Linked DNA regions of Sus scrofa. The protein of the gene in region 2 binds, or shares a complex with, the protein of the main gene of each other region. Links are inferred from orthologs where the notes say so. Each region holds a gene or a part of one and is shown on either strand. Other genes may lie near its edges. The genes, in order: GON7 and TPRKB.

Evidence for each region.
Region 1: TPRKB (region 2) and GON7 share a complex: the UniProt entries of both Homo sapiens proteins name them as parts of the EKC/KEOPS complex. The link is inferred for Sus scrofa from reciprocal best matches to the Homo sapiens genes TPRKB and GON7.

Annotation. Positions count from the first base shown.
Region 1 is NC_010449.5:114,582,431-114,594,979, forward strand, and holds GON7 (uncharacterized protein C14orf142 homolog), read right to left. Parts: upstream 8,375-12,549; 5' UTR 8,322-8,374; coding exon 8,114-8,321; intron 4,215-8,113; coding exon 4,120-4,214; 3' UTR 3,876-4,119; downstream 1-3,875. Other genes in the region: putative E3 ubiquitin-protein ligase UBR7, read left to right, coding at 8,576-8,725, 11,924-12,057. UniProt on the Homo sapiens protein: Component of the EKC/KEOPS complex that is required for the formation of a threonylcarbamoyl group on adenosine at position 37 (t(6)A37) in tRNAs that read codons beginning with adenine.
Region 2 is NC_010445.4:69,238,042-69,249,861, forward strand, and holds TPRKB (EKC/KEOPS complex subunit TPRKB), read left to right. Parts: upstream 1-302; intron 303-926; exon of another isoform or gene 927-951; intron 952-1,051; exon of another isoform or gene 1,052-1,149; intron 1,150-1,607; coding exon of another isoform or gene 1,608-1,627; coding exon 1,628-1,768; intron 1,769-3,116; coding exon 3,117-3,239; intron 3,240-4,361; coding exon 4,362-4,538; intron 4,539-5,541; coding exon 5,542-5,628; 3' UTR 5,629-5,654; downstream 5,655-11,820. UniProt on the Homo sapiens protein: Component of the EKC/KEOPS complex that is required for the formation of a threonylcarbamoyl group on adenosine at position 37 (t(6)A37) in tRNAs that read codons beginning with adenine.

The DNA.
Region 1 (12,549 bases), on a different chromosome or scaffold from region 2:
GTCGCAGACGCGCAGACGCGGCTCGGATCCCGCGTTGCTGTGGCTCTGGCGTAGACCGGTGGCTACAGCTCGGATTCAACCCCTAGCCTGGGAACCTCCATATGCCGTGGGAAGAGGCCCAAGAAATGGCAAAAAGACAAAAAAAAAAAAAAAGCATGACTTTTTGATTTTCCTGTATTTGAAAGAAAAACACTTTTGTAATACACACTTTTGTGAAAATGCCAAGAGAACAAGAATACACAATTTCCTTTTCACTCCCAACCCCAACCCCCTCTTCCCAGATGGTTTGTCCTTTCAGATATGTGCCTATCTAGCCAATATCCTCTGCTAGAAACACTGAATGCTGTTTTGTATCTTTTCGTTTAATATCATATTCTGGAGATTGATCTTAAACAAAACATAGTTATACCTTGGTTTTCTGTTTTTGTTTGTTTGTTTGTTTTTGGCCACACTGTGGCATGCAGAAGTTCTTGGGCCAGGGATCAAACCCGAACCACAGAAGAGACCAGAGCCATAGCAGGAACAATGCTGGATCCTTGACTGCTAAGCCACTAAGGAACTCTTTTTTTTTTTTTTTTTTTTTGTCTTTTTAGGGCCAAACCCATGCCATATGGAAGTTCTCAGGCTAGAGGTTGAATCAGAGCTGGAGTTGCATGCCACAGCCACAGCCATAGCAACCTACACTACAGCTCACACCAACGCCAGATCCGTAACCCATTAAGTGATGCCAGGAATCAAACCTGCATCCTCATGGATACTACTTGGGTTCATAACCCGCTGAGCCACAACAGGAACTCCCAGGGAATTTAGTTCTTAGTCATTCCTGTTGAAAAATACCATATACTTTTCCCTTGTCTTTTAACCTCACTTAGAGAATGTTCAGAAATTTTCATTGTTATGTAATTGCATTTACTAATCTTTTCTATCATCGTTTCTGGATTTCTAAAAATCTTGCTTATGAAAGTGTTATTGTACAAATATTCTCCAACTTCTATAATTTTATACTCTAATCTTACTATATACTTAAATATACAAGATGCTATATTTATACATGATTATAGTCTATTTCCCCAAACACATTAATTTTGTTTGGAACTATCAGTTACAAAATTATAAAACTATAATAGTTTGAGAGTTCTACCAACCAGAGTTAAGTTCTAACAAGAATTTCTTGTAATCATTCTATCACAACACAGTGATCAACAATTGAGTTAAAAAGCCTAGATTTTCAGGATGTCTATGTATGCATCTTACTGCAGTAATTTTTTTTCCCCTGTCTTTTCTTCCTGTCACACACACGGCATATGGAGGTTCCCAGGCTAGGGGTCAAATAGAAGCTGCAGCTCCTGGCCTACACCACAGCTACAGCAACGCCAGATCCAAGTCACATCTGCAAACTACAGCTCACGGCAACGTCGGATCCTTAACCCAGTGAGCAAGGCCAGGGATTGAACCTGCATCCTCATGGATACTAGTCAGATTCATTACCGCTGAGCCATGATGGGAACTCCCCCTTTCTTGTATTATCTTCCATCATGTTCTATCCCAAGAGACTGGATATAGTTTCCTGTGCTATACAGTAGGATCTCATTGCTTATCTACTCTAAATGTAATAGTTTGCATCTACTAACCCCAAATTCCTAGTCCTTCCCACTCTTTTCCCCATCCCCCTAGGCAACCGAAAGTCTGTTCTCCAAAACAGAGTCTGTTCTGTTTTGTAGATAAGTTTATTTGGTTTTTGTTGTTGTTTTTTTAAGGGCTGCACCCCAGGCATATGGAAGTTCCCAGCCTAGGGGTCCCAGTCTACAGCTAGTGGAGCTGTAGCTGCTGGTCTACACCATAGCCACAGTCACACCAGATCCAAGCCACGTCTGCAACCTACACCATGGCTCACAGCAACGCCAAATCCTCAACCTACTGAGCGAGGCCAGGGATTGAACCCCTGACCTCATGGATACTAGTTGGGTTCGTTAACACTGACTGAGCCATCATGGGAACTCTTTTATTTTCTTTTTTGATAGGTTCATTTGTATACAGGTAAGTTTTTTTTTTAAGGACTGTATAAAGATAAAAGATTACTGGGAGTTCCCGTCATGGTTAACGAATCCAACTAGGAATGGCTGCTGGTTCGATCCCTGGCCTCACTCAGTGGGTTAAGGACCCGGCATTGCCGTGAGCTGTGGTGTGGGTTGCAGACGTGGCTCGGATCCTGCGTTGCTGTGGTTCTGGTGCAGGCCGGCAGCTACAGCTCCGATTCGACCCCTAGCCTGGGAACCTCCATATGCCGCAAGAGTGGCCCTAGAAACGGCAAAAAAAAAAAAAGACAAAAAAAAAAAAAAAGATAAAAGATTATTGTAACTGAGCTGAATTTCCCAACATTAGAGACATTATCACAAACTAAACAAACAAGGTACTTTCTGACCACCTAAAAATTTTCTCTGGGAGTTCTTGCTGTGGTGCAGCCAGTTAAGCATCCAGCGTGGCTCGCATCTGTGGCTCGGATTTGATCCCTGGCTTGGGAAATTTCATATGCCATGGATATAGCTAGAAAAAGATAAATAAAAGCTTTCTCTAATTGGTTGGTCTGTTTAGTTTTTTGTTGTTTTTTTTTTTTTCTGATGCCCCATGGCATATGGAGTTCCTAGGCCCTTGCCTGCGAAATTCAGTTTCCTTAATAGCATGTACTTTGTAAGCTATAGATTTCAGAATGTGTAACAGGAAAGTACTACAGTAATCTTTAAAGATTATGTGGAGTACTCTTGTGGTGCAGAGGTTAAGGATCCAGTGTTTGTCACTGCAGTGGCTAGGGTTGCTGCTGTGGTGCAGGTTTGATCCTTGGCCCAGGAACTTCCACATGCCAGGGGGGTGGCCAAAAAAATAAATAAGGGCTATGTGTATAACCCAGTTCCACCAATAAGTTCTGTAACTCAGGGCAAGCACCTAAGATTCAAATCACCTCCAAAATAGATCATATAATCTGTAAGGTTACTTCCAACTCTAAAATTCTATGACCACTTGTGTTTCAACAGGTACATGCTACTTGGTTTCTTTGCAGTTTAATTATCTGAATGAATCAGGAAACATGCACAGTAAATAAAAAATGCCTTAGTCCCACTGCCAAGCAGAAAAAGAATACAGCCCCCCCCACATATATATATTTAAAGGATTTGTTAGTCCTTTGTAAAGCAAAATAAAAATTTGGCAGCAGGATAAGAGGAGATATCTAAGTCATAGCACTGGTTGCTTAAAAGACCTCTATTTGTGTTTACATATTAGCACATCACCGCACAGAAGCCCAGCCCATTTGACTCTCTTGAGGTACAAGGTGAATAGATATATCCACTGAGTAGTATTGTCTCCAGATGTCTGTAAACTGAGTGTGAGTGTGGATTCAAAGTTTCCTTGGGTTTCTCTCAAGGGCTCTCCTTTCTCTTCAGTATTTCTCTCTATTCCCATTTACCTTCTACTGCCATTTTTTTCCCCTCGCTTTTTAGGGCTGCACTCACGGCATATGGAGGTTCCCAGGCCAGGGGTCGAATTGGAGCTACAGTTGCCGGCCTACACCACAGCCAGAGCAGCGTTGGATCCGGGCCACGTCTGCGACCTACACCACAGCTCATGGTAATGCCAGATCCTTAACCCACTAAGCGAGGCCAGGGATCCAACCTGAAACCTCATGGTTCCTAGTCGGATTCGTTTCGGCTGCACCATGATGGGAACTCCTACTGTCATTTTTAAATACCCAGTTCTTGCCACTTGCTCATCATTCTTTGAAATGTTATTGTCCATGAACTGTAACATGTACTTTTTATAAAGAAGCTAAAAGAGGTAGACATGACACAATTCAATAAGAATTCAGTTGCCAACCTAGCATCTTACACCTTATTAAATGTCTATTTTATTTCCATGGTCTGAAACTTACTTCTTAATCAAGAAGAGAGATTCATTTCTAAACATTTATTATATTTTTCTTCATTGGGAACAGAAGAAAGGTTTCTCCTTTGACAAAACGGTTCCAGGGGAACAAAGTGAATGCTTTCCACGTTAGAACATAAGTCTTCCTTAAATGTCAGTATGTGATAAGATAGTGGCAGTCTTTAAATTTCATAAAAGCCACTGTTAAGATGGTGGTTTTGGCCGTTTTGCAGTTGGTCCATCTGAGTTAGTTCTGTTATCAATGTTATTTTCATCTTCTGCATCATCTTCATCATCACCTTTTAAAATAAACATTGTTGTATGACAATATGTTCAGTGGTTGAAATAAATATAGATAGCTAAAACAGTTGATAATGAGACCACTTCACTTTAGGGATTAATAAAACAATGCATATACCAAATAGGAAATATGCGTGCTTAAAGACTTTAGGAATTTTGGCATTTAGAACCTTTCTTTTCTATTACAGTTTTGGTTTTTTGTTTGTTTGTTTTGTTTTTTTTTGTCTTTTTGCCATTTCTTGGGCCGCTCTCGCGGCATATGGAGGTTCCCAGGCTAGGGGTCGAATCAGAGCTGTAGTCGCCGGCCTACACCAGAGCCATAGCAACATGGGATCTGAGCCTCATCTGCAACCTACACCACAGCTCATGGCAATGCCAGATCCTTAACCCACTGAGCAAGGGCAGGGATCAAACCCTCAACCTCATGGTTCCTAGTCGGATTCGTTAACCACTGCACCATGACAGGAACTCCCTATTACAGTTTTTGGAGATGTAATTCATATACCATAAAATTCACTTTTATTTTACAGTTTCTTTTTAGGGCCACAGGTGAAACATATGGAAATTTCCAGGCTAGGGGTCGAATCATAGCTACAGCTGCCGGCCTATGCCACAGCCACAGCCATGCCAGATTGGAGCCATGTCTGCGGCCTACGCCACAGCTTGAGGCAACGCCAAATCCTTAAACCCACTGAGGGAGGCTGGAGATCGAACCCCCATCCTCATGGATATTAGTCGGGTTTGTTACCACTAAGCCACAACGGGAACGCCTAAAATTCACAGCGGGAGTTCCTGCTGTGGTACAGTGAATTAAGGATCCGAATATAGCAGCTCGTGTCGCTGCAGAAGCGCGTACAGTGGGCTACAGATCTGGCATTGCCGTAGCTGCCGTGTGTGTTGTAGCTGCAGCTCAGATTCTATCCCCAGCCTGGGAACTTTCATATGCCACAGGTGGCCCCCCCCCCCCAAAAAAAGTGTAGTTTACTGATTTCGATATTCACTAGGCTGTCCAACCCTCACCACTAATTCTAGAACACTTTTCATCAACCCCAAAGAAATCTTACACCAATTAGCAGTCATTTCCCATTCCCCTTAGCCTTTGGCAGCCACTAACCTACTGTAATCATCTCCCATCTCTTAGATTTGCCTATTCTTTTTTTTTTTTTTTTTTTTTTTTTTTTTTTTTTTTTTTTTTTTTTTTTTTTGTCTTTTGTCTTTTTTGTTGTTGTTGTTTTTGTTGTTGCTATTTCTTGGGCCGCTCCCGCGGCATATGGAGGTTCCCAGGCTAGGGGTTGAATCGGAGCTGTAGCCGCCGGCCTACGCCAGAGCCACAGCAACGCGGGATCCGAGCCGCGTCTGCAACCTACACCACAGCTCACGGCAACGCCGGATCGTTAACCCACTGATCAAGGGCAGGGATCGAACCCGCAACCTCATGGTTCCTAGTCGGATTCGTTAACCACTGCGCCACGACGGGAACTCCAGATTTGCCTATTCTTAACATTTAATGTAAATGAATCGCAAAATACATGCCTTTTTGTGTCTGTCTGCTTTCACTTACCATGTTTTCAAAGGTCATTCATGAAGTGTAACATTTATCAGTACTTCACTCCTTTTTGTTGCTAAATAATATTCCATTGTATGGATATACATATTGTTTCTCCACTCGAGTAGATGGACATTTGTGTGTTTTTTAAAATTTTTCATCAAAGTATAGTTGATTTACAATGTTCTGACAATATCTGCTGTAATTTGTCTTATTTCCACTTTTTAGTTATTATGAATAATGCTGCTTATGAACATTTGTGCATTTGTTTTTTATGGGAACATGTTTCCAGTTCTCTTGGAGAACTAGGGATGGAATTAAGAATCCCTAGAATTGCTGGATCATATGATAACTTTAACTTCAAACGGCTTTCCAAAGAAGGTACACTATTTTGCATTTCCACCAGCAACACATGAGGGCTCTAATTTCTTCATATCCTAGCTAACATCTGTTAGTGTTCTTTCTGATTACAGCCTTCCTAGTGGACATGACATGGAATCTCATTGTGATTTGATTTGCCTTTCCTTGAAAGCCAATGACGTTGAGCGTCTTTTCATGTGCTTATTTGCCATTTGTATATCTTATTTGGAGAACTGTCTATTCAAGTCTTCTGCACATTTGGTAACTGACTGTCTTTTTTCGTCAACATGAGGATTTTTTTTTCCATTGAAGTACACTGTTAGTTCCAAGTGTACCACACAGTGCCCCGATATTTCTAGACGTTACAAAATGATCACTATTTGCCTTTTTAGTGTTGCATTCTACCACTTTTCTTTCATAATTGTTATTTCTGAAAATTTTGCATTGCTAATTAAGATATTATTCATACACTGGGGGTTCCCAGTGCAGTGCAGCAGAAAAGAATCCGACTAATATCCATGAGAATGTGGGTTTGATCCCTGGCCTCACTCAGTGGGTTGGGAAGCCAGTGTTGCTGTGAGCTGTGGTGTGGGTTGCAGATATGGCTCCGATCCGGAGTTGCTGTAGCGTAGGCTGGCAACTGTAGCTCCATTCTGAGCCCTAGTCTGGGAACCTCCCTATGCTGCAGATGTGGCCGTAAAAAAAAAAAAAAGAAAGAAAGAATTCATCCAAAATAAAGATAAACTCCATTTTTTTTTTTTTTTTTTTTTTTTTTTTGGTCTTTTTAGGGCCGCACCTGAGGCATATGGAGGTTCCTGGGCTAGGTGTTGAATTGGAACTATAGCCACTGGCCTACACCACAGCAATACAGCAATGCCAGATCTGAGTCATGTCTGCAACCTACACCATAGCTCAGAGCAACTCCGGATCCTTAACCCACTGAGGAGGCCAGGGATGTAACCTGCGTCCTCATGAATATCAGTCAGATTCCTTTCCACTGAGCCATGATGAGAACTCCCACTTTTTTTTTTTCAATGGCTCTACCTATACCTGTCCTTATTCCAACGATAAAATTTGCAACTGATTAAAGAGGAACTTTTGGAGTCAAGAAACAGGACTTCACTCTCACGGAAACAATCCATTGTCTGAAGTTTGTGTAATATTCTGAATTGGTTCCTTCACATTATTAGTTTAAGAGCCTGTACAGAGGAGTTAAGTCCTGATTCCAATATTTAATGCTTAGGTTCTTAAGCTTAAGGCAGTCAAAATGTATCTACCTATTCAAGACAAGACTTAAAACAAAAAACCCCCCAAAAACTAAACCAGTTAAATTTCCCGTTTCCACTTTCAAACTGCACCTACAAAACCGGGAAAGGAAAGGAGTCCCTGAGAGTAAACACCTGTTTATCTGAAATCTCTTCCAATCTTAGGAACCCGCTCCTATTCTGCGATGGACCGCAGTCTTCCAAACGTAATTTCACAGCTGGGAGAATTCCTTTTCATCCTTCAACACCCAGCTTAAAAGCCAGACATGCCCACTATTAGGTCTTCCTGGGTTCTCTAGGTTCGAATAGTTATAGGAGGATCCTAGGGTCATCTTTCCACTCTTTAATGAGAGCGTTTACTTGTTTAATCACTCATCAAAATTCCGCAACGACAGGAACTAAGCCGCATTCACCCTCATTCTTTCTTCAGAGCTCAGTCCAATGATTGGCACAGAGCAGCAGGGGTTCGGCCCGCTTTTCTTTGGTTTTGTGTGTGCGTGTATGTGTGTGTGTGTGTGTGTGATATAAATGAAAAGAGTCGTGAAAACAGCCCTGCTAGGTGAGCCCAGGTTAGGCCTAGAGTTGGCGGAAGGTGCTAACAATTTTTAGTAGGAATCCTTCTTCCTCCAGTTTTCTCCAGTCTGCTGTTTTACACGGGCTCCCTGAGATTTTTCCCGGGGCGCCCCTGCCCTCCCTCCAGTCGCTCCAGCACCATCCCAGAGCTCACCGTCCAAGGCCTCTTCTGGAGCCGCCGCCACCCGGTCCTGAGCTTCCCCCTGTACCGGGGAACCGAAGAGCTCGGCCACCAGCTCCTTCATCCGAGCCACGCCCGACAGCAAGCCCTGGAAATGGTCGGCATTGCCTGGCGCCTCACAGGGCACTCGTAGCCGCTGCCGCTGCCCGTCCTGCCCGACATACTCGCCCAACAGCTCCATGGCGACCGCTGAGCTTCAAGAACGCGCCACAGGGATACGCCACCCGGAAGCGGAAACCAGCCAAGCGCGGGCGCAGGCGGGAGAAGGAAGAGGAGTGACTTCCGTTTGTCGGAAGTCGCTCCTCCCCCTTCCTTCTCTCGGCGTCTTTGGGATTGGTTCCAGGCACCCAGGCCCCGCCTCCTACGGCCCCGCCCCTCGCGCCCGCTTTTCCCGCCTCCGCCGGGGCTGAGCGGCGGTCCGGGTGACAGTTGAGGATGGCTGGAGCCGAGGGGACCGCGGGGCGGCAGTCGGAGCTGGAGCCCGTGGTATCGTTGGTCGATGTACTTGAGGAGGACGAGGAGCTGGAGAATGAGGCGTGCGCCGTACTAGGCGGCAGCGACTCCGAGAAGTGCTCCTACTCGCAGGTGGGCGCGCGGCCGGGCCTTACCTCCCCCGGCTCCCCTGGACCTTCTCTTCCCGGACTTACCTTCCCTCTTCCCGCCTGCCGAGGCCGGCACCTCCGTGGTAGTCCGGGGTCACTGTTTGTCATAGGCTTCCTCATCCCAGGCTCAGCCGCCCTTTTACCCTTAGTCTCGTGAGCCCCCTTCCTCTGCTTGTGTCCGGCAGGGCCCCCTTCGTCCCTCGGTTTTCCTCCGACCCCCCAGGATCTCTAGGCTTTGACCCTGGAGCAGCCTTTCCTTCCTCTCCCGTCTCTTCTCGGTGCCCCGGGTGTTTTTCACGAAACCATCCTCGTGTCCTCTCAAATCCAGACATCTTTGTCCCTAATTTTCCCATCCTTAGTATTTATTAGGAACCAGGTGGGAGTCAAAGCAGAGATAAAGGAGAGATCTCTGGATCTGAAAATCTCCCCATGTGGGCTGGGCACTTGGACAGCTGGTCCTCTGCAATTTAGTTTGACAAGTGCTATCTGGTTTTTTGGCGAGAGGAAGCAAGTACCATGTCTCTGTGCAGTCTGCTACCCAGGAGGATAGACCGGAACCCGAACAGCTGGTGGCTCTGGCGAAGGGGTGGGGGTAGGGGAGGAGAGCGAGCACTTGGAAGATGTTGTGAACAAGGCTTTGAGGGGGTGTGATGTAGTGTTGGGTGACTCATCCTATATTCTAGGTACAAAAATGGAGAAAGGTGGGTAGAAGAAAACTAATAAGAGGTGAGAATTGGTAGGAGGAAGGTTCCTTGGCGGGGGGCGTGTGGAGTGGAACGTTGGAGGGTGAGGAGAGAGACTTAGGGTCATTGTGTGGTGTGGACTGAGATCATAATACCAGTTGTCATCATTGACCAGTTGAATTTACACTGCAGAATGGTTAGGGTTTTTTTTTTCTTCTTTTTCTTTTGCCATTTCTTGGGCCGCTCCCGCAGCATATGGAGGTTCCCAAGCTAGGGGTCGAATCGGAGCTGCAGCTGCTGACCTACACCAGAGCCACAGCAACGTGGGATCCTTAACCCACTGAGCAAGGCCAGGAATGGAACCCGTAACCTCATGGTTCCTAGTCGGATTCGTTAACCACTGAGCCATGACAGGAACTACTGGGTAGGGCTTTTTTTTAATACACCTGGTATCAGATGTATTTAATGTTGGCTGGTATTCTAAAACCTTTGGTCACCCCCGAAACAACTTCTTCTGTGCTTTCGTTCGTTTGTTTTTTGTGTTTTAGGGAGGGACCGCTGGAGGTTCCCAGGCTAGGAGTACAATCCGAGCTACAGCTGCTGGCCTATGCCATAGCCACAGGAACGCGGGATCCGGGTCACATCTGTGACCTACACCACAGCTCATGGCAAAGCCGGATCCTTAAACCACTGAGCAAGGCCAGGGATCAAACCCACAACCTCATTGGGTTCGTTGCTGCTGCGCCACTGTGGGAACTCCTGTGCTTTCCTTTTTTTTTTTTTTTTTTTTTAAGTCTGTGCAGAAGTTATTTTTTGAAATATAGTTAGGTTTTAAAAACAGACTTCCTTAAAAAACACTTTTTTGTTTGTTTTTTTAGGGCCACACCCACGGCATATGGAGGTTCCCAGGCTAGGGGTCTAATTGGAGTTGTAGCTGCCGGCCTACACCACAGCCACAGTAACATCATATCTGATCCTTTTCTGCAAACTACACCGCAGCTTATGGCACCACTGGATCCTTAACCCACTGAACAAGGCCAAGGATTGAACGTTCAACCTCAGGGTTCCTAGTCAGATTCAGTAACCACTGTGCCACCACAGGAACTCCTTAAAAAATATTTTTTTAATTGTAGTAGAGCATGTGGAAAATTGCACAAACCTTGTATAAATTTTGGGAAAGCAAAAACAAAAACACATGCACATACGTACTATCCAGATCAGGAAGTAGAGTATTCCTGGCGTCCCGGAAGCTTCCATGAGTCCCTCTCCTTCCTCCCCAGAAGACGGTGACCGTTATCAGGATTTCTAAAAGTTGTACTTGTTTTTCTCTCAGGTTTTTATTTTGTAACATTTTAAGTCTACAGATAAGTTGAAAAAATAATACTGTGAACACTTGTGTACCTTTATATATATTCACTTTTCAACATTTTCCCACATTTGTTTACCTTTCCCCCTTTCATTGTAAATTCTTTTTCCTTTTTTTTCTTTCTGAACCACTTGAAAATAAGTTGCAGACCATGACACTACACTTCTGAATACTTCAGCATACATCCTAAGAATCAAAGGGATTTTTTTTTTTTTTTTTTTGTATTTTTTGCCTTTTCTAGGGCCACTTCCGCAGCACATGGAGGTTCCCAGGCTAGGGGTCTAATTGGAGCTGTAGCCACCGGCTTACACCAGAGCCACAGCAACACCACATCCAAGCCGCGTCTGCGGACCTACACTACAGCTCATGGCAATGCCGGATCCTTAACCCACTGAGCAAGGCCAGGAATCCAACCTGCAACCTCATGGCTCCTAGTCAGATTTGTTAACCACTGAGCCATGATGAGAACTCCAAAGGGATTCTTTAATGCATTGATTTTCTCTTTGGTGGAATCACAAGCATTTTCCAAAATTAAAGTATGGTTATTACTTATGTAAACTGACACACATTCTCCTACATTTTCTTTTTTTTCTTTCTAGGGCCACACTTGCGGCATATGGAAGTTCCCAGGCTGGGGGTCAAATCGGAGCTGCAGCTGCCAGCCTGCGTCACAGCCATAGAGACACGGGATTGGAGCCCCATCTGCAACCTACACTGCATCTTGAAGCAATGCTGGATCCTTAACCCACCAAGTGAGGCCAGGGATCAGACCTGCATCCTCATGAATACTAGTTGGGTTCTTAACCCACTGAGCCACAACGGGAACTCCCATTATCATACATTTTCATGTATTAAAGTGATTAAGCAGACTGGCTAATTCACAGCTGACTAAAAACCTTAAAGTTCTATCGCTTTAAGAAGAAATTATACAGAAACAAACACTAGTATATGAAATGTGCAACAGTGTTTGGTACTCTGTTGTATAAGCTTTTTTTTAGTCCCAGTGATTTTTACAGGAAGATCTTGACCACAGATAATCTGACTGCAAAAATTTCTCAGATCATAGTATGGGTATTAGGCATATTTCATCAATTTATTCTCTCTCTTTTTCCATTTTGGGGCTGTCTTTTAGGGCTCAGTAAAGAGACAAGCACTGTATGCCTGTAGTACTTGCACCCCAGAGGGAGAAGAACCAGCAGGAATTTGCCTAGCTTGCAGTTATGAATGTCATGGAAGTCATAAACTATTTGAGCTATACACAAAAAGGTAAAACAGAGATTGGTGCTGAATACTTTTTTTTTATTTTTATTAAAGTTTTTTTTTATTATAGTTGATTTAGTGTTCTGTTGATTTAGTTTCTGCTGTATGGTAAAGTGACCCAGTTAAACATATATATATATGTATATATACCCACTTTCTTTTTCTCACATTATTCTCCATCATGTTCCATCCCAAGTGATTGGATATAGTTCCTTGTGCTGTACAGCAGGACCTCACTGCTTATCCACTCCCAGTGCAATAGTTTGCATCTACTAACCCCAAGCTCCCAGTCGATCCCACTCCCCCTGCCCCGAATACTTTTTAAATGTTTAGACGCTTTCACAGTTGCATATTTTTTCTTAATCTTGTTTTTTCATCAAAGTGGTTGTGCACTGGCAAAATTTAATGTAACTTTTATGTACTATAGTTGGAGAAAATAGTTATTCCAAAGGACCTTTTAAAATAGAATGGTGCAAACTCAAACTATTCATATTCATG
Region 2 (11,820 bases):
ATTATATATTTTGAGTACTCATTGTAGAAAATTCAGCACATAGAAAAATATTTATAGGAGACCTTAGAAATTGCCTTCAATTCTACTGCCCAAGATGGCCATATTTTGGTGTACTTCGTGTTTTTGTTTTCTGGGTGCATCTTCTTTTATAATTGGGTGTACATTTTATCTTTCTGTATTTTTTTTTCCATTGGACCTTGATTATGACTGAACTGCTGTGTGCCAGGACGTTATTCACAAATGTTCTTTTTTTCTTTTGTTACAATAAGAAAAAAGTCAGATGAAATTCCAGCAGGTCAAAGGTAATTTTTCGTTGTATTTTTCTTTCAATTTTGTGTGTGTGTGTATGTGTACCTTTTTTAAAAAACCCACAATTTTATGTTTTGATTTCCACATCAAATGTTTTAGTGTTATTTATTGCTGTTTTTATACATCCTTAAGTACTCTTCAAGACTACAGTTTTTAGTGGTTGTTTAGTGAAAACAAATCCTGTTACTAGTTCTTTTCAGCTTTTACTGTTAGGATAATGATAAGGACCTCTTGTTACATAAACCTTCAGATTGCCAGTTTATTCTTTGAGAAAAATGCTGTAAATGGAACCTCCTAGGTAAAAGGATAAAATGAACCTATCAAATTGCCTCACCCAAATATCTCATTAGGACTGATTGAAATTGTTTTAAAGATCAAATTTTTGCAATGCTTTGTTTTTCTGTGCAAGGATATGTCTTTGTAGTTATTTGTCATGTTTCTCTTATGTCTTTGTATATACCCCGTCCTTTTCTTGTTCAATTTATGTCTATAAAGGGCCAGTATTATTAAAGCATTGTGCCCTCCCTGCTTAAATCCCCATGTGTGAAATGAGTTCTCTGAGTCATGTCATACTTTTCCTCTGTAAGATTATTTTCTTCTTTCGTATTTGTGTCTAGGTGCTGCTAAAACATAAATCAAATGGTGAGATAAGAAAACTAAAAAGGCTAAGAAGTTGGAGTGAGGTTTCATTAATGCTAAAAGTAACCTGTGATCTAAAACATTTTTGGTAATCTGCACCTAGTTGTCTATTGGGGAAACGGCATCTCATCCACGGATCAGAGCCGGACTTACTGCACAAGCAGGGGATCAGGTGGCAACCTTGATCCTTCGCCAGGAATGGTAAAGGAAGCTAGAAACAGCAGGTTTAGGAAGACAGTATACTGTGAGAATGCCAGATGTGTTTTCGGGATAGATTTTTCTATTTTAACACTTTTATATGTTCTTATTAAAGTTACTTTGTTAGGGAGTTCCCAGTGTGGCTTGGCGGTAACAAACGTGACTAGTATCCATGAGGACTCGGGTTGGATCCCTGGCCTTGCTCAGTGGGTTAAGTATCTGGTGTTGCCGTGAGCCGTGGTGCAGGTCACAGATACGGCTCAGATCTGGCCTGGCTGTGGTTGTGGCTGTGGCTGGGGTATATGCAAGCAGCTGCAGCTCTGATTTCAACCCCCAGCTGGGCAACTTCCATATGCCACAGGCACAGCCCTAAAAAGCAAAAAAATATCTCGTTAAGTAAAGATATTTTTTTGTTAGTGACCTACGGTGTTAACTTTTGGTCTTTTGGTCTTGTGCAACAGAATCCTGTCTTATCTATGAAATGCAGTTAACAGAGCAACTGGACCTGTTTCCTGAGTACAGGGTGACCCTTCTGTTATTTAAAGATGTGAAAAATGCTGGAGCCTTGAGAAAAAAGGCCATGGAAGGTGGCATTGACGGCTCATTAATCAACCCTACAGTGGTAAGTACTTGTGGGAAGGAGTGCACTCTGCAGGGAGTTTAAGAATATGAAATATTTCTTGCTGTTACAGGTCAGCCCAAACCTGTTATCTTCAGGTAAAAAGGCCTTGTCCAAGCTGTGGAGTGGAATCAGATTTGGCCGACCTTGAATTAGCAGTGACTAGAAGCCAGAGCACCCCGCCCTAGGAGCTGTCAAAGGCGGTCCAGCCCTGATGTGATCGCAGCTGTCTGGGATCGTCTTCTCCTCTGAAAGAGAAAGTCTGGGAAGGAGGCACTGCATAGTGGTTAAGGGAACACACTGTAGAATCACTGTGACTCAAATCCCAGATATGCCATTTATTATGGCTTTGAGCAAGTGGTAGCTGACCTTTATATAAAGGTGTATTTGGCTCCTGGCATTGTTGCAAGTTGTTTACACACACAGCTGACTCAGTCTTCACGACAACCCATCCGTGACGTCCTAGGATGGTCTGCACCTCTAGATGAAATGCTAAGGCATTTGCTCCGGTTCCCTCGTGGTAACTGAGGACAGCTGGGATTCAGACCTGTTCTTTGCCGTGGTCTCCTCATCCATTACATGTGAATATAACATGGATATCACTGACAGCTGTGGAAAACGAAGGCAAAATGTTGACCATATGGTTTTTCCCATAATAATACCCCTCGGTAAATGTCGTTTTAAAACTTTTTACTATTGGAATTCCTGTGGTGGCTCAGTGGGTTAAGGATCCGGTGTTGTCTCAAGCTGCAGCGTAAGTTGTAGATGCCGCTCATGCCCTGCATTGCGGTGGCTGGGGTGTAGGCCGGCAACTGCAGCTCAGATTCCACCACCAGCCTGGGAACCTCCATATGTCTCAGGTGTGGCCCTAAAATGAAAAAACAAAAAAACCCAGCTTTTTACTATTTATCTAAGTTGCTTACAGTTTTACTTTTTTTTTTTTTTCCTTCCTTTTGTCCTTTTAGGGCCGCACCCGCGGCATGTGGAGCTTCCCAGGCTAGGGGTCTAATCGGAGCTGTAGCCGCCAGCCTACGCCACAGCTCATGGCAACACCGGATCCTTAACCCACTGAGCAAGGCCAGGGATTGAACCCACAACCTCATGGTTCCTAGTCGGATTTGTTAACCACTGAGCCACGACGGGAACTCTTGCTTGCAGTTTTAAAATTCTTTTTTCTTTTTTTTTTTTTACTGAACACTCAGGCCTTGAGATTATGAAAAAATTTAAAAATGTAGTCCATAGGAACTGGGATGAAGTAAAACACTGACCCTGGAGATAGCACGCTATGGGGCACATGTCTTCAGCGTACTCCAGATTCTCTGTGTATAATATTTTTTGTTCTCTTTGGTAGATTGTCGATCCATTTCAGATACTTGTGGCAGCAAACAAAGCAGTTCACCTCTACAAACTGGGGAAAATGAAGACAAGAACTCTATCTACGGAAATTATTTTCAATCTTTCCCCAAATAATAATGTAATTAATATTTATTTACTTTATAATTGTTGACCTTGTCATGATAGCCTGTGTGTTACTTGGTGTTGGGTTGGAGCCTGTTAATACTAAACCAAAACAATAGTGAAGACAGCTCTGGACAGAGTTGGGGTTTAGCACTGCTCTCTTACTAGGCAAATAAGCTTTGGAGACGCTTCACATGTGTGTAAACAAAAATTTAGCTAAATTAAGAGGATAGTTTTAATTTGTCCTTCTTACCACGTAGAGTCAGGAAGATCACTAAATGATATCTGAATGATTAGCCATGGATGCCTGAGTGTTGTCATGCGTATCTTTCATTCTGCCTGTAAACTCTTTGAGGATAGCATCCATGTCTCTTCCATATACCAGAAGCCTGCCTGGTACCTAAAACAGCCCTTAACACATGCTCTCTCACACACCCACTGCATGTAACAGTTTGTGGTTTCAGATACTGCTAGTAATCAAAGTTATTGAGTTAAAAACATTCCACCTGGAGCCATTAAAAAAACAACACTGTAATTTTGCTGATGAAGAAGTTTTAGTGTTCCTACTACTGTTAAAACAAGCAAGTGCTGACATCAAGAGAAAACTTAGGAAAACTGTGGCAAGGTTTAAAATACAGATGTTTAGGAAGCTTATAAAATGCATGGTAGGAGAACTCCCCAGTACTTGGGGGAAAAATCACTCCATAAATATTGTTTGAGATCAGTGAAATAACTCAAGAGACTAAGCAATTCATAAACAATTATTGAGTTGTCCCTGTGTCAGTTCTAGGGGCAGAAAAAAAACAAAAATGTTCCTGAACAAGGCAGATGAACTAGACACAAAATTCAAATGCCCTAAGATAATTGATATACGAGGGCTCTCCAGGCAGAGGACAGAGTATGAGCATAGACAGAGAAGCATGAGATGACAGGCTCTCCAAACAGTCCTAAGTGGCTAGAGGGTCACTTGGGGTTGGGGGGTGGGAGGGATGGTTTGTGCAGGAAGGGGCTGTGGAAGAGAACAACTGTAGGCAGAACCATTAGGATCTAAAAAATAAGAATCTGACCTGGAAAGAGTGGCAAGGGGGAGGTGTTTCAGATGAATCTACTGATTTTCTCCCCCCCGCCCCACCTTTAGATTTCAGAGGCCTTGAAAAAATTTGGTATTTCGGCAAATGACACTTCAGTTCTAATTGCTTATATTGAAGAGGGAGAAAAACAAATAAATCAAGAAGACATCATATCTCAGGTAGAAGGTCATCAAGTTCCTTTGAAAGAACTCACTGAAATAACAGATATTACAGAAGTCAAAAAGGTTTGTAAATCTGAATTTCTGGAAAGAGCATGATAGATGTGAATAATGTTTGCTTATTTTTCACCAGTGCTTCTATGTTTTTTTTAACTTTTAAGAAAGTTAATGTAATAAAGTATTACTTGGCATTCCTCTCATGGCTCAGTGGTTAACAAATCGACTAGGAACCATGAGGTTGCAGATCTGATCCCTGGCAGTGCTCAGAGGGTTAAGGATCCGGCATTGCCGTGGGTGTAGGTCGCAGACACGGCTCGGATCCGGTGTTGCTGTGGCTCTGGTGTCAGCTGGCGGCTACAGCTCCGATTCAACCCCTAGCCTGGGAACCTCCATATGCCACGAGTGTGGCCCTAGAAAAGGCAAAAAGACAAAAAAAAAAAAAAAAAAAAAAATTACTTGAAAAATAATTACAGGTGCAAAGAATTGGAAGATGCAGAATTACATAAGATACAGTTAGAAACTTACTTGATAAGATCATTCTTCAAAAAAGATAACTTTAACTATCAAACTTACGTAGTACATTTGAAATATAAAATAATTATAGTATGAAGTTACTATCTAGATGTGTGCTTTTAAAATTAATATATGAGTTCCTGTCATGGCTCAGCAGAAACGAATCTGACTAGTATCCATGAGGACACAGATTCCATCCCTGGCCTCGCTCAGTAGGTTAAGGATCCAGCATTGCTGTGGCTGTGGCGTAGGCAGGCAGCTGCAGCTCCAATTCAGCCCCTAGCCTGGGAGTCTCCATATGCTGCAGGTGCAGCCCTAAAAAGACGAATACAATAAATACATAAAAATTTATTTGTTTAGAGTCATCACCATAACTAAAAAAGAGTGCTTTTGACAGTGATAAATTTCCATCTACTTTTCATACTTTAACTACGTTGTGATTTCATGCCATCATTCCAATAACTGAGTGATAATTTCACTTATACATGTTTGTATAATAAAAATAAATCGTGCATGAACATATTAGCATGTCATAATCTGTCTTTTATTTTTACAGATATATAAACTGTCTTCACAAGAAGAAAGAATTGGGACATTATTGGATGGTATCATTTGTAGAATGTCAACAAAAGATGTTCTGTAAAATAATAAATATATTAAAAATTTTCAGCATTTATAAAAAACTGGTTTTTTTCCAGATTATAAAAATCTATTTTGTTCATCATAGAAAATTTTAAAGCAGAATGGCAGCAAAGGGGAAAAAAAAAACACTCCTGGTCTTATCCCTAATATTTTAAAAAATAACCAGTTAGTATTATGCTATTGTCTTGCTTTCTATTTCTGTTCAAATAGGTTTTATTTTTATATAATTAGAAAAATTGCAGACATTTATCGGATGTGTACAGTGTACTAGGTTCTCGTCTTTCTATGACTTTCTATCCAGCAGCCCATATTCCTGCACTTATTTCTGGCTACTGCAGCATTGCCCTTCCAAGCCTCCTGGTTCCAGGTTTTTACATGCAAGAATATGTTTAATTCTAAGAGTGTCACATGAGGTAGATATACCCGCATTTTACACAAAGGCAACTAAAAGCTTGTAGAAATAACAGGTAACTTGCCCGAGTTTTACAGCTAAAAATCATGTTTTATAAGTGGTTTTGGATTTTTTTTTCTCATTTTGTCTTAAAATATGATTGTATCAGTCAAGGTAGAATAGGATAGGGATCAACAAACTTTCTGTGAAAGACCAGATAGTAAATATTTTCGGTTTTAAAGGCCACCTGGTGTTTGTTGCTTCTACTCGGCTCTTGCTGTTCTAGTGCAGAAGCATACACAGACAGTGTAAAAAAAAAAAAAAAAAAAAGTATTCCAGGGAGTTCCCCAGTGGCTCAGTGGGTTAAGGATCCAGGAGCTGTTTTTGCTGTGGTGTGGGTTCTATCCATGGCCTGAAAACTTCCACATTCAGCAAGAAAAAAAATCTTCCAGTAAAACTTTATTTACAAAAATAAGCAATGGGCAAGATTTGACCTGAGGGCAATGGTTTCTGGACTCGGGGGTGGGGGGTAGGTTAGGCTGTAATTAGGGTCCCTAAAGCTCACTGCCTTCGTACCACAAAAATTCGTGTCTGGCTCACTCTGCAGTGTGACTCAGTAGGAAGGTTCACTGCAGTGACTCGGGAATCCAGGCTGCTGAAGGCTTTATGTCAATATGTGCTCTGTGGGTCACAGCCTGGCTAGAAGGCATGCTGTGAATTACACAGTGACTCTTAAAGCTCCCACATGGAAATGACAGGTGCTTAGATTCATATTTCACTGTCCAGTCACATAGCCATGCCAGCGTCATAAAGGGTGGCGGAATGGGGTCCTCCCCTGTGCTGGAGAGGGAGAGGTAGAAATCCTTAGGGGACAGATATTTCCACTGTGGTCATAAATAGTAAAGTATAAATGTGCATTGCTTTGAATGCAGTGAATACGGCGCTAAGCATTTTATATGCACTGCCTCATATGGTTCTCTCTACAACCCCGAGATTTTAACACAGCAAGGAAGTAAATTTAGTCTCTGAAGTTATTTCAAAAAATTTCAGAAGTTCCCGTCGTGGCACAGTGGAAACGAATCCGATTAGTAACCATGAGGTTGTGGGTTCGATCCCTGGCCTTGCTCAGCGGGTTAAGGATCCGGCATTGCCATGAACTTTGGTGTAGTTCGCAGATGCTGCTCAGATCCCGAGTGGCTGTGGCTGTGGCTGTGACACAGGACAGCAGCTACAGCTCCGATTTGACCCCTAGCCGGAACCTCCATATGCTGCGGGTGCAGCCCTAAAAGACAAAAGAATAATAATAATTCAAACCTACAGAACAATTGGATAGTACAGTCACCATCTGTATGCCTTTCATGTGAATTCACCATTTGTTAACATCTTGCTACCTTTGCTTGCTCTCTTCCTGCATGAGTAAGGCACAGGCATACACACCTGTTTTCTGAAACATTGTGTTTAGTTGTCATGTCTCTTAGTCTCCTTTAGAAAAATCTTTTTCAGAAAAAAAAAGTCGAGGAGTTCCTGTCCTGGTTCAGCTGAAACGAATCTGATTAGTATCCATGAAGACACAGGTTCAATCCTTGGCCTCACTCAATGGGTTAAGGATCTGGCGTTGCCATGAGCTGTGGTGTAGGTCACAGACCTGGTTTGGATCTGGTGTTGCTGTGGCTGTGATGCAGGCTGGAGGCTACAGCTCCTATTTGACCGCTAGGCTGAGAACCTCCATATGCTTGTGGGTGCCAAAAAAAAAAGTTGACATTTTTTGAAGAGTACCCTATGTCTTTCAGAATTTCAGAATGCGTTCACGATTTGAGTCAGTTTAAATATTTTTGGGAATGAGGAGCTCGGGCTGTGGTGCAATGGGATTGGCAGTGTCTTGGGAGCACTGAGACACAGTTTCAATCCCCACCCCCAAGCACAATGGGTAATCTGATCCCTGGCCTGGAGCGCCATGTGCTGTGGGGTGGCCAGAAATGAAAAAAAGAAAAAGAAAAAAAACACATTATATATATATTATATATATATATCCAGGGGAATGACAGTAGATAGATTTTGTGTCCTTCTGCTTGCATGTCATCAGGAGGCACGTGATATCAGTTGGCCCCATCAGTGGTGTTAGTTTGGTCACTTCGTTATGGTGGTCCCCCTAGACCTCTCCATTATGAAAGCATCTTTCCCCCTGAAGCTTACAGAGTCAAAGCTGCTCTAAGACTCAAAGTGCTGGTGGTCAAGATTAAAACTCAGATTGGAGTGACCCCAGATCCTGTGATCCTAACGACTCCATCACAAAGCCTTCTCCCATGCCATTACTCTCAAACATGTTTTTTGGGGGTTGTCTTTTCTTTTTAGGGCCGTACCTGCTGCATATAGAAGTTCCTGGGCTAGGAGTCGACAGCTGCAGTTGCTGGCCTAAACCACAGCCACTGCAATGCGGGATCTGAGCCTCGTCTTCGACCTACACCACAGCTCACAGCAAATGCCGGATCCTTAACCCACTGCGCGAGGCCAGGGATCGAACCTGCATCCTCACCAATACTAGTCAGGTTTGTTGGCACTGAGCCACAACAGGACCTCCCCAGCGCCTTCTTTTTAGAAGGAGCCCAGTGGCTCACAGGCGTCTCAGGCCTCCTGCTGTCATTTTTTTGCTTTTGTCATTAATGACCTTCCCACAGCTACTTGTCTGCAAACCCCAGTAGTCAGTTCCTCTGCTCTGGAACCTGTGCCAGGGTTGAGGCTGCCTCTCTGTTCCTGGCTGTGTTTGCTGACTGTTAAGCCATCAGCACAACAACACTGAGTAAAGCATCTATGTTGATTGTTCTCAGAATGAGCAAAGTTTGCATTTACCAAATTTGCCCGTTGTGACTGTTTTCCTCATCCTCTGTGCCAGTTATCTCCATATCTCCATTCTGGTTTTGAGTTCCCAGTAGAAGTCTGGGGCACTGACCTGAGGTTGGGTTGACTGATGAGAGGTCAGGGGAGATGCTGTTCTTTTCAGGACGTTTTCTTCCTCCTCTGAGACTTCCAAAACACATTGCCACATGACTGGCTACCTTCCATCTCAATGGCCCATTTCTAGGCAGGGCTGGGCTGTTACACAGGTATACTTCATAATTTGCAAGCACGGAATTTCAGCGACATGATGTTCTCAAATCCCAACTCTGGGAATAAAAATGATTCCAAAAAGTATAATTATATATCATAATCGGGTTCCTATGGGCAATAGAAAAGTAAAATAATTTATCAGGGTACTTGTAACTTTTCTTTTCTTTTTAGGGCCATACCTGCGGCATATGAAAGTTCCCAAGTTGGGGGCTGAATAGGAACTGTAACTGCCGGCCTACACCACAGCTGTAGCAATGCAGGATCCAAGCTGGGTCTGTGACCTACACCACAGCTCACGACCACACCAGATCCCTGACCCACTGAGTGAGGCCAGGGATCAAACCCGCCTCCTCATGGATTTTAGTCGGTTTGTTACAGATGAGCCACCATAGGAACTCTCAAAGGTCATGGTAACTGTTAAACTGTAATAAGTGAACAGTTACTTGTTAAGCAAGTAATAAATTAACAGCAATGTAAGTGCTTAATGAGGAAGTGCCAAGGCTTCAGAGAAGGGAACAGATACAAGATCCATCTGGTTGGTAAGGGTCAGAAATCTTGATGGAAAAGGTAACACTGAACTGGATCTTGAAGAAAGAACAGAGTCTTAGTCACAGATTGGAATTTGGTCAAGTATGGCCTGGTCACTGGTGATAGAGGTGTGATGAGGCCTGGAAGTGAATCCTGATCCTACCAGGCAGAGCTGATTCTCCTGGCATACACAATTCACCAAACACTTGTCCAATTGGGATCAGCATGTGGTACTGAAAAAGCAAAATGTTCAGGCCTTCGAGTCTGAACTGCCGTTTGAGCCCCAACCTGCCACGTTCTGTGGCATAGGTAGGATATCTCAGGTTTGTGGGCCTCTGTTTCCCATTGTAAAGTGGAAACATGAATATCAACCTAAGCTCTTAGGTTACAATGAATATCAAATAGTACAGCAGAGGGGAGTTCTCTTGTGCAGCCATGAAGGATTCGGCGTCACTGCAGTGACTCGGGTTGCTGCTGTGGTGTGGGGTTGATACTTGGCTTGGAAACTTCTGCATGCCACGGGTGAGGCCAACCCCCCCTGCCCCCCCCCCAAAGCCCCAAAATGGTACAGCGTAGGAAAAACATTTTCTTACAGTTCCAGGCATCGAATTTCTCAGGAATAACAGCTATCTCTTTCTCTCAGTACACCAGGCAAAGTGCTGATAGTAAAATAAGACTTACTGCTGGTGGGAAAGTAAAACATGGACAACAGTCTGGCAATTTCTCAAAATGTTAAAATAGAGTTACCATATGACCCAGCAGTTCTACTCCTAGGTATATACAAAAGAACTGAACACAGGTCCTGAAACAACCACCTGCAAAGAATGTTCACAGCAGCACTATTCACAGTAACCAAAAGGTGGTTAGAACTCCAATGTCCATCAGTGGATAACTGCCTACACAAAGGCTGTCTCTCTGTACAATGGAATATTATGTAGCCATAAAAAGCAACGAGGTACTGATAAAACACGAGGATGGAGATGTACCTTGAAAACAAAAGTGAAAGAAGCTGAATGTGAAATCACATATTGCATGATTCCATTTAAATGAAACATCCAGAATAGGTAAATCCATAGAGACAGAAAGCAGGTTAGTGGTTGCCATGGGCTCAGGAGAACTGGAAATAGGGAGTGATTGCCTCCTGGCTAAGGGGTCTCCTTCTGGGGAGATGAAAACGCTTAGCAACTAGATAGAGGTGGTAATTATACGACATTGTGAATGTACTGAATTAGACGCATTTACATGGTTAAAGATAATAGAATGAAAGTATTAACACATCTGCCTTACCTTTAGGAGTTCACAGTCTCAGCTGGGTCTGTTTAGATTCAAGAGTTGGCAGAGGCTAAAACAGGTAGATTCTCAAGCAGTTCCATCATCTGAAAGTGGGGCCAAGAGCCTGGAATGTGCTAAACTTCCAGAGGTCATCTCCTACCCAGAGAACTGCCTGCTTCCTCTGTCCAGAAGGAATGGCCACCAAAGTGTGGTGGAACCGTTCACACTTTCCTCTCTGCATGCTTGTGTGTATAAATTATTTTTTTCTATTTTTCAAAAAAATAAATGAAAACACTGTCTTATAAGCTTTAATAGCTTGGTGCTATATTTTGACAATTTTTTTTTCATGTCAACAGATCCTCATCATCATTGTTCATGGCTGTGAGGAAGGTTGAAAAGCCTGAATGTAAACTGAGGCCACCAGGTGTTGAGGCCACAGAGGCTGGTGAGGATACAGGAGACAGATGGCAGGGACAGCTCACAGCCCTGTCTCCTCAGCTTGGTTTCTCACTGGTTAATATTAAACTCATAAGCAATAGTCATTTGGAACCCTCTTGTCTCTTGTGAATCCTCAAATTTGGCTTGACATTGAACCATTTAAAGAAAATATTACATTTTACTGAAAACAATGTAACATGCCTGTAGCTCACCACCCAGACTTCATGTTAGTTAAACCCTTGAGGCCTTGATGGGTGCCGGAGCCTCAGCAGCCCGCATCCACCAGCCCCGGGTTGCAGCTGCCAAGTCTGGTCTCTCTCCAGCATCCTCCCAGGTGCTTCTACCAGAATCCTGGCTATCTTCTCCAACCCCTTCTTCATCCTCAGATCATCACTAACCCATGCCATTTCTGCCTACCCCCCAAGTGGGCCAGGTCACACTACCCACAACCCCACTCTA